Drosophila melanogaster: one gene and its partners. Changing the gene in region 1 together with any one later gene gives a genetic interaction. Each region holds a gene or a part of one and is shown in the gene's direction. Other genes may lie near its edges. The genes, in order: lin-52, mip40 and mip130.

Evidence for each region.
Region 2: of lin-52 (region 1) and mip40, changing one suppresses a phenotype caused by changing the other (phenotypic suppression), as found in Drosophila melanogaster (one study listed by BioGRID).
Region 3: of lin-52 (region 1) and mip130, changing one suppresses a phenotype caused by changing the other (phenotypic suppression), as found in Drosophila melanogaster (one study listed by BioGRID).

Annotation. Positions count from the first base shown.
Region 1 is NC_004354.4:5,752,886-5,756,981, reverse strand, and holds lin-52 (lin-52), read left to right. Parts: upstream 1-2,023; 5' UTR 2,024-2,097; coding exon 2,098-2,137; intron 2,138-2,192; coding exon 2,193-2,366; intron 2,367-2,440; coding exon 2,441-2,545; intron 2,546-2,625; coding exon 2,626-2,780; 3' UTR 2,781-3,333; downstream 3,334-4,096. Other genes in the region: CG15771 (uncharacterized protein), read right to left, coding at 778-927; CG15772 (uncharacterized protein), read right to left, coding at 3,334-4,096.
Region 2 is NT_033778.4:19,290,517-19,293,808, reverse strand, and holds mip40 (Myb-interacting protein 40), read left to right. Parts: upstream 1-1,612; 5' UTR 1,613-1,711; coding exon 1,712-2,515; 3' UTR 2,516-2,704; downstream 2,705-3,292. Other genes in the region: Fkbp12 (FK506-binding protein 12kD), read right to left, coding at 3,073-3,291.
Region 3 is NC_004354.4:1,906,467-1,911,336, forward strand, and holds the start of mip130 (Myb-interacting protein 130), read left to right. Parts: upstream 1-1,772; 5' UTR 1,773-1,886; coding exon 1,887-1,889; exon of another isoform or gene 1,890-2,361; intron 2,362-2,453; exon of another isoform or gene 2,454-2,984; intron 2,985-4,174; exon of another isoform or gene 4,175-4,290; coding exon of another isoform or gene 4,291-4,870. Other genes in the region: Edem1 (ER degradation enhancer, mannosidase alpha-like 1), read right to left, coding at 1-968, 1,029-1,153; Rbcn-3B (Rabconnectin-3B), read left to right, coding at 4,291-4,870.

The DNA of each region.
Region 1 (4,096 bases):
GGAAAATTCTAAAAACTTTAACCTTTTAAGATCGCAAATAGACTCATTTATTGTAATAAATAAAGTCAATGGCCTCTGAACGTTCAAACAAGTACATATTGCGAAGTGCTACCTATTATCATCAATTAACCTTTAGCTTCTTTGTGTGCCATTCACTTTATAAGAAGGTTATATTTCAAAAGAAACCATTGACGCGGGTTTCCAAAGTTTGTTGGTATGACGTTTCGTTCAACTTTTGTTAAGTGCAAGTTCCTCGATTTCCGACCTTTTTGCAATCGTTTGCAATCGATAATGCGCACCACGATAAGATCCTGTAAAGTGCCTTTTAACATTTCGAAAACCGAAGATTCCGAATTTCCAACGTAATGCCGATTATTTAGTGGGTTTTAGCCTTCTAAAGTGCATGTACCCGTGGTTATATTTAAGTTAAGACCTTGTCGAGTGCACTCTGAGTTTTTCTTTTTTGTTTTTTTTTTTTTTGTGGCTGGGGGATGTGAAGGGAAGGGAAAGGAAATCAATCGGAACGCAAATAAACAATCGAAATTTCGGGCGCGTGCTATCTGCCGAGCGTCCGGGTTTTTTCGACTACGTAACAACGGGCGGGCTGCAGTGGAAAATTTTCTAGCTGGGTCGCCCGCCTGCTGCGCACTTTCACCTCCCCCGCCCCGCCCCCCCACAAACACTACATGGAAAAGAAACGGAAGAAACGCCAACGGATTGGTGATTGGCAGAGGGGGCAGTGAGGCTGTCTGCCTTGGCTTGGTTAACAAAGCTCACCTTTCTGATCGCCTTGGAATCGCCGGCTCTGGTGGGAATCAACGTGTTGTCCAGGTCAAAGTAAAAGGCCCTGATTTTCGCACATGTCGCATCGAAATGTGAATGTGTGGCTGTCAATTGCTTGCCGCAATGGAATTTGCTAGCTGCCATGAGAGTCGTCGAGCGGAGGGGGGGATGGAGGGTCAGCGAGGGGTCACTGTCAGGAGTGGAGGGGTGGTAGCCGGTTGCTTGGTTAGATGGATGGATGCAAACGTAGAGATCCAAGAACAACTTTGGTGCAATTCAATCCGCCAGCGGATTTGCGCTTTGAAATTGGCGCCAAACGAAACGAAACGAAATGTACGAGCTGCACGACTGCAGCAGCACTGCAGTATTTTTCTATTTTCCTCGAGCGGACTGGCAAAAGTTTCCGCTTCTCGCGCGGCGAAGTTAAAACGGCAACTGAATGACAGCGACAAAAAAAATAATGAAACGGAACGGGAGCGGTCGCAGTAATGTCGAGAGACGGGGTAGCGGGGCGGCGGAACAGGTGAGCGCGTGTGTATGAGTGCTTGTTGACTGAGTGAGAGCGGAGCAGCGAATGAAAAACCGAAAGAAAGTGCGAGGGCGCATGGGAAAACAGTGGTGGCCAAAAGTCTGCGTATGCGAACAGTGCTACCAGGCGGCGGCGCCAATTGATAAAAACTTGATAAGATATTGTTATTCCTTAAGATTTTATATTATTATTAAGATGTTCTTGAATAAGTTTATTTCAATAACTGGTTAGACATCCGTGTTGTGTTGTTCTGGACAACTACTGCGCAGCACATGTGCTTTTTACGGGCACATATTTTTTGGCGCCACTGTGCGAAGTGTGCCAAGTGCCGTTTGCGCGCCAGAGCGAACGAGAGCAGGCGACCTAGCGCAGAGTTGTCTCTATGCGCCGTTAAACGACCGTGAGTGGAAAAGAGAGCACGATAGAGGTCGCGGAGAGGTTCGCGTTTCTCTGCTACGACGCCTGCTCTCCACTCTGAATTTAGTATAAGTCGAGGCACGCTCATTTCCTAATTGTTGTGCCATTTATTTTTAACTTCTATTAATAAAACCAGGAAAAGCAATAACAACAGTTCTTTGTTTACCAAAAATATCAGTTGTTTTATACTTCCTGGTGCTTTCTAGCACTGGCTTGGCGGTAAATCGATAGTATTCGATAGTGATTGTTGAAAGTGGCAACGCTATAGTTTTTGTTTAACGAGGTGGCAAGTGATTAGCCCACGGATTTTTTGGCATCTTTCCGTGTTTATTTTCAATAGTTTTTGGAGTTTTTCAACATTATCCGCGATGAGCAACGCAGAGACAACTACGGATTTGCTTTCTACAGGTGAGTAAATATTTAAATCACATGAAAGGCGCCATAAAACGAGGTTTTCTTGCAGAAACCATTCTAAAAGCGGCGGACGAGGAAGTGGAGAAGGCTTCAGCGTCCAGCAGTAGTACGTTATTGGCCGAAAAGGATGTCCCGGAGGTCAAGGAGCGGCCCATAACGCCGGAAGACGAGCTCATCTCCATGGAAACTCTGCGACCCTCACCTGTCCAATGGCCAGAGCGTTGTAAGTGTAGAAAACGTGAGCACGAAGAAATTGGCGCCATTTTTAACGCATATCTTTATTTTCGATTGCTCCAGTTCCCGGAATGGACGAGTTCCTCTCCATGAGCGACACGCCGATGTACACGCGCAGCACCAACTACACCAGCAATCTGACCGATGATGATATGGTTAAGATTAATGGTAAGTAGCTGCAAAGTCAATGAGATTTAAGAATAGTATATTAAAGAATAGCATATCCATTACCTACTTTTCTATTCCAGAACTAGCCCAGCTCCCTCCCGAGGATCTGATCGATAAAATAAAGTCAATGCATGATGAAATTTACCAGCTGGGACTGCGTGAGGCAATGGAGATGACTCGTGGGAAACTGCTGGGCATCTTTGACCGGGATCGCGCTCCTAAGCGGCAGCCATGAGGCTGGATGATCCGATCCCTAAGAATGGGACTGTCGAGGATCTCGTTGAATTCGCATTAGGAACATAGGTGTAGTTTCATAGTGTACATAGTGCTATTTTTATAGTGAGTAATGCGTGTTGTGAATGATTTATCGCTATTTTACAAAGATAAATAGGCAGGCGTTTGAACAGTAACTAACGTTTATTTCCATTAAAGCATTTTGGGTCCTACACGTCGCTTGTATTACAGATACATTTGAGGAGTCGGAGGAGAGATGAAGTTGACGGATTGGAGGGAAAGGAATGCAGAAGGATCTGGAGTTTTTGGAGAAGGCACAGTAGATTTCGCTATGCAGGGACATTAACGCAACAAATAACTCTGTCTATGTGGGATTGGATGGATCGGTTGCGCTCTAGTGCGTCCTATTAATACTTAACTAAATGCTTTCGTTCGGATTTATGCAGTAGCCTTCCCCACGATCCATCCCAATTTGGGAAAGTGTGTTGGTGCTGATGGTGTGCTTACATGCTGTTTCCCGTGAATATATATCCAGTAACGTGCATCAATTCCCATTACTCCTGCCACTGCATTCCGAATCGCTGCTCAAAGGTGATCCGGTTAAAGACGCCCGCATCGGCCAGCTGCAAGGGATCGGTGTAGTACGCAAAACGCCGTATATCCAGCATGGCCAGGTCGAACATTTGCTTCCAGCTGGTCAAATCTGTAACGCTCATGTGGATCGGCAGCTGGGGATCCGGTATATCGATGGCCGCCTGCAGACGGTCAAACGCCTCGGCAATTGGTCCCACCGATAGATTAACCCAGTACTCCGCTGGAAAGCGCTTGTTCTCACAAAACGGCGCTCCCTTGCGCATGATGAAGACCAGCATGAGTATCTCATAGCGCTCGGAGCTCTCATAGAAGCGCTTGGTTCGGGTCTTCTCCACGAAATCGATGAGAAGGATCAGGGGAGTGTAGTTCTGGAGGTGCATCAACAGCTCCCGGTCGGTCCAAAGGTAACGGCCGCCTTTGACGGTCAGCAGGCTCATGTTGCTGGCGAGTTGTTGATGCTGCTGCTGCTGCTGTTGCTGCTGCAGCTGGTGGTGTTGCTGCTGCTGAAGGTGTTGCTGTTGCTGCTGCTGATGTTGGTGTTGCTGCTGCTGTTGCTGCTGGTGTTGCTGGTGCTGCTGCTGCTGGTGTTGCTGCTGCTGGTGCTGCTGGTGTTGCTGCTGCTGATGCTGCTGGTGAATGCCGCCGGCGGATGGGGCTGGAGTTCCGGTGTTGGATGCCACCTGGCTGGGCATGGCGACCACAATGCCCGTCTGTCTCTGGCAG
Region 2 (3,292 bases), on another chromosome or scaffold:
TTTTACCAAAACTTTTTATTTCCGAAAGTTACAAAACTAAGCTGCTAGTATAAATATTATAAAAGTTTCACAATTGGCAATATAATGCGGTAATGCGGAGCTCTTGAATAAAACTTGCGTTTTTCTTACAGTGCATAACAAGTGCAAAAACTTGTGAACTTGTTTTCTTAATACGAAACCAAACCGAAGCAAAAACAACGTACAGAGAGCGCTTATTGTTATTGATAGTGGGAGAAAATCTAAAAGCACACATAGCAAATCAATATTTGCACTTTGCGATTAGAAGCGCTTGGAGGGGGTTGAGTGGGCGGTGGGTGGGTGGTGGTCGGGGGATGTACCCGAACGATTCGTTTACATATTTCGAAAAGACGGCCATTTCGAGGGAGTTTCAGCCGTTATCAATAGGCGGAAATACGTATACGCATGTACGAATGGGTAATACAGTTACGTGCAGTCTTGCACAGACACACGAACACCAATGTGCAGTGCGAGTGCGAAAGAGACACGTAATGGCTGTGTTAACGGCACAAGATAAAAACCAGCTACAGCCAGCGTGGGTGCGAGCGAGAGGGAGGGAGAGAGCGCAAGAGAGAGAGAGAGAGAGAGCAAAAAACAGGTGACATTGGCAGCTACGCAATAGTAGATAAAAAATATCCATACATATATAAAAACAACCGAGATCGATTGAAAATGTGAAACGTTGGGAAACTTGGTATGGCCCCTCCCCCTTAAAAAACGCATTCACAACTTGTTGCCCGTTTGGAAATGTGTTTATTTATTGCTTTTATTTGGTGCACTAGGTGATCTGCATGTGTGCGAGTTGTTTTTCACAATTTGTTATTTGCACACAGAGCAGATCCACCCACACCTGTGCACTTCCCAATTGTATGTGGATGTGTGCGTGAGCAGAAGAAGCAAAATCCACAGATTTACAATTTGCATCCTTACCGAATAAGTTAAATTCTTGACTTTTCCAATGTTCCTTTGTTGCTCCGCTCTTTTTGTCGTTTGTTCTTTGACATTCAAATTGTGATTTCGATATTTTGGTGCTTTTCAATCTGAATCTTTTCCACTTTTGCCCCTTCGATTTCCTCGTTGGCTTTGTTTTCGTTTTTCTTTTCTCACACACTCACAACTACACACACAGTTCACGCAAAAGCTCCGCTTTGTTTTAATTTAGTTATTTATTTTATTTTTCGCAGTAAACTTAATTAAATGTATTTTTCACGTCGCTCTTTTCGCGATCACAAAACAGCAGTGTGACCATAAAAGGTGGGTTGAAAAGCCCGAAAGGTTTTGGGTTAAAATTACCAAATCGAGAAATACCAAATTTTTAAGACTTTCATTTCCTTGTTTTTTTTTTTTTAATCTACAAAAGTATTAATTTAACAATCAAAGTCTATTAAATATTTTTGAATAGTCAAATATTAATGTGTATTAAGTTTTTGTTTAAAAATATATATGTTATTCTTTTTTCTTTTCATTTAAGCTACAAATAATTCAAAGAATTATTTCTCAAGCTAGCGTTAGGCGCCAAGACCGTTTGTTTTCTTTAATTTATGGTATTTTTTGAAATACCACTGACTTATGTAGTGTTGCGTGGCGAAGTGGTGTTTCAGTGTTGTGAAGCGCCGTAAGTCCGTTTGATTTCCGATTCGGCATTCGAAATTGTTTTCCCTTAATTTTCGTGTCGAATACAAGATTTCTGGAAATGAAGACTGTGCCGAAAAAGAAGGAAACGGCCCTGCGCTTGCGGGAGTCGCGCCGTGAGGAGCAGAAACCAGAGACGACAAACCTGCCGCCGGACGACGACGCAGAGTCGGATTTGCCCATTCGGGGCCGTCCCTCGAAGAAGCTGCTCATCCAGCAGCAACAGCAGCGTCAGTACCAGGTAAAGCTAGATCCGAAAGTCAAGACGGTCACGTCGGGCTCTAGCGAGAAGCCTTCGACATCCTCGAGTGCAGCCGCAGCCGGCGCCGGAGGACGCATCAAGGCCAGGAGAGTGCTCTACAAGAAGAGCGTTGGAGCAGCGGCAGTCGCCCAGAAGGCGCCCGGCGAGACCTACGTAATGCGCCTGTTTGAGCGAAGTTTGGACCTGTCCAAATACCAGGATAAGACTCCTTTGTACCCCATATGCCGCGCATGGATGGCAAATCAACCCAAGAATCCAGCTGTGGGTGCATTTCAAACAGATGCTTCACTCACGGCCACCAAACGTGAGGACAACGGCGAAGAAATCCTGTCCCAAATTAAAAGCGGCGAGATAAAGGTGATCAACCAGCTCCCGCAGGCCAAGTCCACGGATCTGCCCATAATTCCGCCTCGTCTGGAGTTCAGCCAGGAGGACAAGAAGCGGGAAAAGGCTCTCCAAGGTGCCAGTACCTCCGATCTTCTGTCCTCCAATATGAACCGCTGGAAGAAAGTGCGCGGACACTGGATAAAGCATATCAAGAAGTATGAAAAGGAGCGATATGAAGTTATTGACAAGATTATGAGCTTGGTCTGCAAAAACTGAAGCGTATCTAGGTGATTTTGGAAGTGGTATAGAAAATGAAAAATAATTTGGATTAATTGTGCACAAAGAATTAAAAAAAATCCTGTTTCCAAATCGAATATATATGCAAATAAGATGCTTGTACACTTTATATACTTATATAAAATAAAATCAAATTTGTCAAGTAGACCACTTCAAGTCTATCAAGAGAATGATAAAGCGTTTTTATATTTGCATATTTTCCTGATTAAAAAATAATATGAAATGCATTTGTATTGCAGCACGGAAAGGCAACCGCAGCTGATTTGATTGGATTATCCCAAGATTTTTGATAAGAAAGACATTTGTCATTGACTTGAATAAATGTTTATTTGTATTGGTAGAAGATGCGTTCCCTTTGCGGTTAAATTAGTTCTAGTTTAGAGCTGTGTATGAAGTTATCATTATTATTTTGGGTTGGCAAATGCTGCTGGATTGTTCTGGTTCCGATTATGATGTTCTTCGGCTCGTCGCCGGTGCGCCGGTCCGCAACCCCCTGCGATTTGGTTTGGGGTATACACATTGGGCATCCTGTGCGCCTATTCGACCTTGAGCAGCTCGACGTCGAAGGTGAGGGTGGAGTTGGGCGGAATGACGCCGGGGTGGCCACGGCTACCGTAGGCATAGTCCGGCGAGCAAATCAGCTTGGCGCGCTGGCCGACGCTCAACTGGGCAACTCCCTCATCCCAGCCACGGATGACCTCGCCCTTGCCGATGGTGAACTTGAATGGCTTGTTGCGGTCGCGCGACGAATCGAAC
Region 3 (4,870 bases), 3.8 Mb from region 1:
CTCCAGCAGCAATGTTATAAAACTCTGGCAGAAAGCCGTACTTCTTCCAGACCCCAATGTACCGTGATATGGTGCGCAAGGCCGGCTCCGTGTCGCCAATAATGCTCAGGATGCCGGGCCAAAACGCCTCCAGGGACTGAAAGACGGGAAGGGTGACGCGGCCTTTGTTCATGCCTACCCACACGTACCAGTCCTCCTTCCGCATGTACTTATCAATGGCCGCGCGAGCCTCATGGAATAACTCCAAGAGTTCTGGGCGATTGAGCAGGACAGATGCCTTAACTAGGTATTCAAAAAGGGAATCCACTCCTGCTCCGATACCAGAGTCGAGGGCGGTCCAACGACCGCTCTGCACGTCGATGTGATTGCCAAAAAGTCCAATGGGCGAGCGATATGCCCATAGAGCATGTACCGCCTTCATAGCAACATCCTCGTAGATGGTTTTCCCGGTCAACCGGCTAAGGGTACCAAATTCGATGAGGAATGTCCCCACGCCCGCCGTACAGGTTATAGAGGTCTCGCCCTTGGGCACGCCATAGCGCAGGTTCACCGTGCCATAAGGCATACCCGTGTTCGTGACGAAGGCTGGCAATAATCGTCGGGCCACATCCTCCGCCAGTCGCAGCAGAGGTCCCTTGCAGGGCCATCCTGGCTCTAGCTCTACGCCAGCACGCTTGGAGAGCAGATGCGCGGACAGCAGCCCGCCCACGATGCGGATGTTTGTCTCGAACACGGACACGTTGATGTCCCTGTCAAAATCCATCTTCTCCTCGAGCAGTCTTGCCGCGCGGCGGAATTCCGTGAAGTTGCCCATGGTGGCCAGCGTGTCCAGAGCGTCGATCAGTGTCAAGGAGTAGCTGCCCCAGGTGTCGTGGCCATCGCAGGTCAGCGGACGCAGTTCATCGTAGTTGGAGGCGTGGCGCAGGTAACCATCGTAGGCGTGCTGGAACATGCGCCGCACATCCTCCCTGCAGATTCATTGCCGGTTAGGATTAGTATGTCCGAGTTTAGCCCTAGCAATGACCCACCTCAGTTCCAACTTTCTTGCCTTGGAATACTGCTTCTGGCCGCTGACACCGGTGGACAGCAGGACGAGGAGGACCGCGCAGATGAGGGTGCCCGGATAGCCGTTGTTTCGGGGTTTTTGCTGCATCGTGGGACAGTCAATCAATCAGGGCCGCTAATTCAATTATGGGCATGGTCAGTGTTCCATAGCCAGCGTGGATGTGGGATGTGTGGAAGTCAAATGCGGCTACGTTGACGCAAAATCACAACAAGGGCTGATTCGGCGGTGGCATCGACCGCCGAATGCCCTACTAATTCCGTTCGGTGAGTGTTTTTTTATAGAGCGCTTAGAGTAGCAAACGGGGGAAAGAACACAAGCCAAAGAGCTTTTTTAAGGTAACAACCAAACACTATAGGCTAGCAAACACTGTATTCTCCGCCAATTCTGAAGTACGTTAATTTTACCCAACAAAATCCCTAGCAATAGGATATGTCATTCCGTAGGGTGCAATCAGCTGTTGCTGATCGAATAACTATCGAAAGGGTGGTCAGATCGAATTTGCATGGTGGTCATTGCTTGTTAAAGGAATACAACAGCTCAGAATAGCCGTAAAATCAGCGCGGCAATATTAAAGTCGGGTTGGAAAAATTAAATGGCAATTTCTTTAAGAATTCAAAAAGTTTGTGATGACAAATATACCGATTGTTTGTCACTGCTTTGCGCGGCACACGTTCCTTTATACTTTTATTCGCGTCGAGTTGGCAGCACATACCAGTTTTTTTTGTGGCCATTCAAAAGTGTGTGTTCGTACGGGTAAAAAGTGATTTAAATTCAAAATATTCAGCGAAACGACCGCCTCCAATAGAAGCAACTGTACCCTATGGTAAGTAACTGCCCTCTGCACCCGTTTCACACCCGGACATCCTCCGGATGAGCTGACCAAGAAATCCGCAGCCTTTGTTACGCTTCCGACTGCGAATTGCAGTTCTGGCGATGGGCAGCGATGTGTTTCGGTTTTGAATCATTCTCCGCGTAAAAAAAACTCAGAAAGAGGGTCGACTATAACCTCGCGGAGTAACTGCATCACGGCCCGTGTGCCTTTTGTACTCCGCGTAAGGCGATCGTTTAAATGCAATCGCGTATGCTTAATTGTCCGTTGGGCGAAAAGTAACAACATTGTGGGTCTATACATGCGGGATTGCCTCTGGCTGACCAGAAACCACATTGAAACCATCCCGTTGACCGTAGATATAAGCGTGTGCCATTTGGGATCTGGAAATCGTGTTTCCACCCAGTTGTTTGCATATTTATAAACAATTAAAGAAAAATATTAAATTTTTTGGTCAGGGCTGTCGCCCCTCGCATGGCATCGATAGAAGAGCGTCCGGAGCTGCGGTTGCAACCCTATCCGCTCACGCAAATCTATCGAAAAATTTTACTCCACGGTCGATTTTCGTTGCTTTTTTTTCACACTCGTGTAAAAAAAAAGGAAATAGCTAAGTAAATCGAAAGTACAGTGCAGTGTTTTGATCCCGTGGAGTGCATGTTCCAGCGGAAAGTGTGTGCAACAAATATGAGCAGTTCGCAAAAGTGGCGAGCAAAAGCAATAACAAAGTAGCAACAGCAACGCAACGTGTGTGTGTTGTAAGCAATCTGTACAGCGGAAAGGTGTTGGTGTGTTGGTGTGCTCGGGGGGTGGTGTGCGTTTCGCCCGTCCCGTGTCCATAAATTAGAATCAAATCGAATCGAAATCGACATTGAAGTCCGCTGCTCCGCCACCGCGATGTCCGTCGACCAGGATCAATAAGCAGCGTCACCACCAGTAGCGGACCATCATTAAGTTCTCCATATCGAGAGCAGGCTGACTCGGAATCGAACTCGGATTCGGAATTGGAATTGGAATTGGCATCGGAATCGGAATCCATAGCGGAGGAATCACGCGCGGCAGCCAGCCCAATACGGAAAACTGCTGAAAAATGTTAGATAAATGCCCAGTTATCTACAATTATTATGGCTTGTCCCTGTGTGCGTGTCCAGGTGTGAGGGTGTGTGTGTTTGTGTGCGATAGCAGAAGCAAAATCCGCTCAAATTGCGATGCCAAATAGTCGGCCAATTAATTGATCTTTCAATTGGCGACATCAGGCGCCCTCCCATATACCCAGCTCCGCACGAAACCCGATATATATCCGCGGATTGAGTCTCTGCTTTTGCCGCACATATGTATTGTATAACCCTTGTTTATCTTTGGACAATCCGAGGTGGAGTGGAGTACAGTGGAGGCTGGCCAAGTTGGACACATGTGCCGATAAGGTGGCGTGTGCTGGAACGAGTGTCCCCTGTAATGCGGTCTTATCTGAAGAGCTTTGCAGGTCACTCCGACTGACAAATTCACCTGCAAGCTAGGAGGGGAAAGCCCTGTGAAGAACTCTCTAACACGATAAAGTCATATTCCTGATTGATACAACTATAACACACAGAAATCACTATCAGACCAGAGAACCAGCTCGCAAGACCCAAGACTGTAGCTATACCAAATAATCTATCCATAAAAATAGGAAGTTCTTATCTTATCACATACTCTAGGTAAAGATTTAAGATGGATCTCTATAAATACTTTTGAATTTACAACCCAATTTGTTATGCTTCTCCTGTAAGTGGCCCAAAAATCGTCAGTTAAGCATATGAAAAGTCTCGACAATGTGGCTGCACTTTGTTCCTTTAATTGTTCTTATATTGTTTACAAATTGCATAAGCTGTAAATGTAAACTTTGCTTAGTTCGATTTCGCTTATTCCCGAAGTCTGTTTAAACATTCAACAGGAAATGAGAAACTGAGCTTGTTTATAAAACGTTAGGCAACATTACCCCTTTTGCCATTCATCTTTTCCATTAAGAACGCCATATAAATTCAGTTTTCAATTTACATCGTACAGCTGTGGGTTGTAGAGCACTATTAGCTGCTAGGAAAGCAGGTTGAATAAAATGATGATGAGAAATCACAGAATTCGAAGGACCTTGGGTGAGTCACTGACTAGCAGCTTTCACTGCACCATCCACGCACTCAAAGCCGACCACAACTGGAGTTCATACACACACAGGGGCCACCATAAATAATTCGCATCCACTAGGTGGAAGTGAGCAAATGTTTACTCAATAACTATTCTTGCAGAGCCCGCAGTCGCAGCAAAGCAACGATTACCAGCGACACGAGCAGGGAGCAGAAGGAAGCCGGCGGAGGAGGAGAAGAAGGAGAGCCACCGCACAGATTGGGTAAAGCGCACCACCATGGTGAGTACCAATCTGGTGGTACCCGTGGTGCTGTGGGGTCCCACCGCGCCCACGCACTGCATCTCTAGCGTGTTCCTCTCGGACGATCAGTTTACCCTGGTCACCGGCTGCTACGATGGACAGATCTGCCTTTGGCAAGTGGAGCCCACCACCCTGAAGATGTCGCCGCGGTGCCTCTTGGTGGGCCATTCGGCGCCCGTTTTGTGCTTAGTGCGTGCCTCGCTTCTGCCGGAGAACAACTTCCTGGTCAGCTCGTCTGAGAACGGAGAGATGTGCACCTGGGATCTTACGGACGGCAAGTGCATGGAGGCGGTCAAGCTTCCACAGGTGCACACCCAAATTCAGAGCTACCACACCGCCAACAGCGAGGATGTGCGCCTCTTTTGCATTGGCTACTATGCTGAAATCATGGTCATGGATCCGTTCAGCCTAGAGGTGATCTACGTGCTCAGCTCAAAGGTCAAACCGGATTGGATATCCGCTATTCACGTACTGCGCCCCATGCGTCGCAAGGATGACGTAGTGTTGGCCATCACCACCACCGGAACCGTGAAGGTCTGGACTCTGACGGGTAACG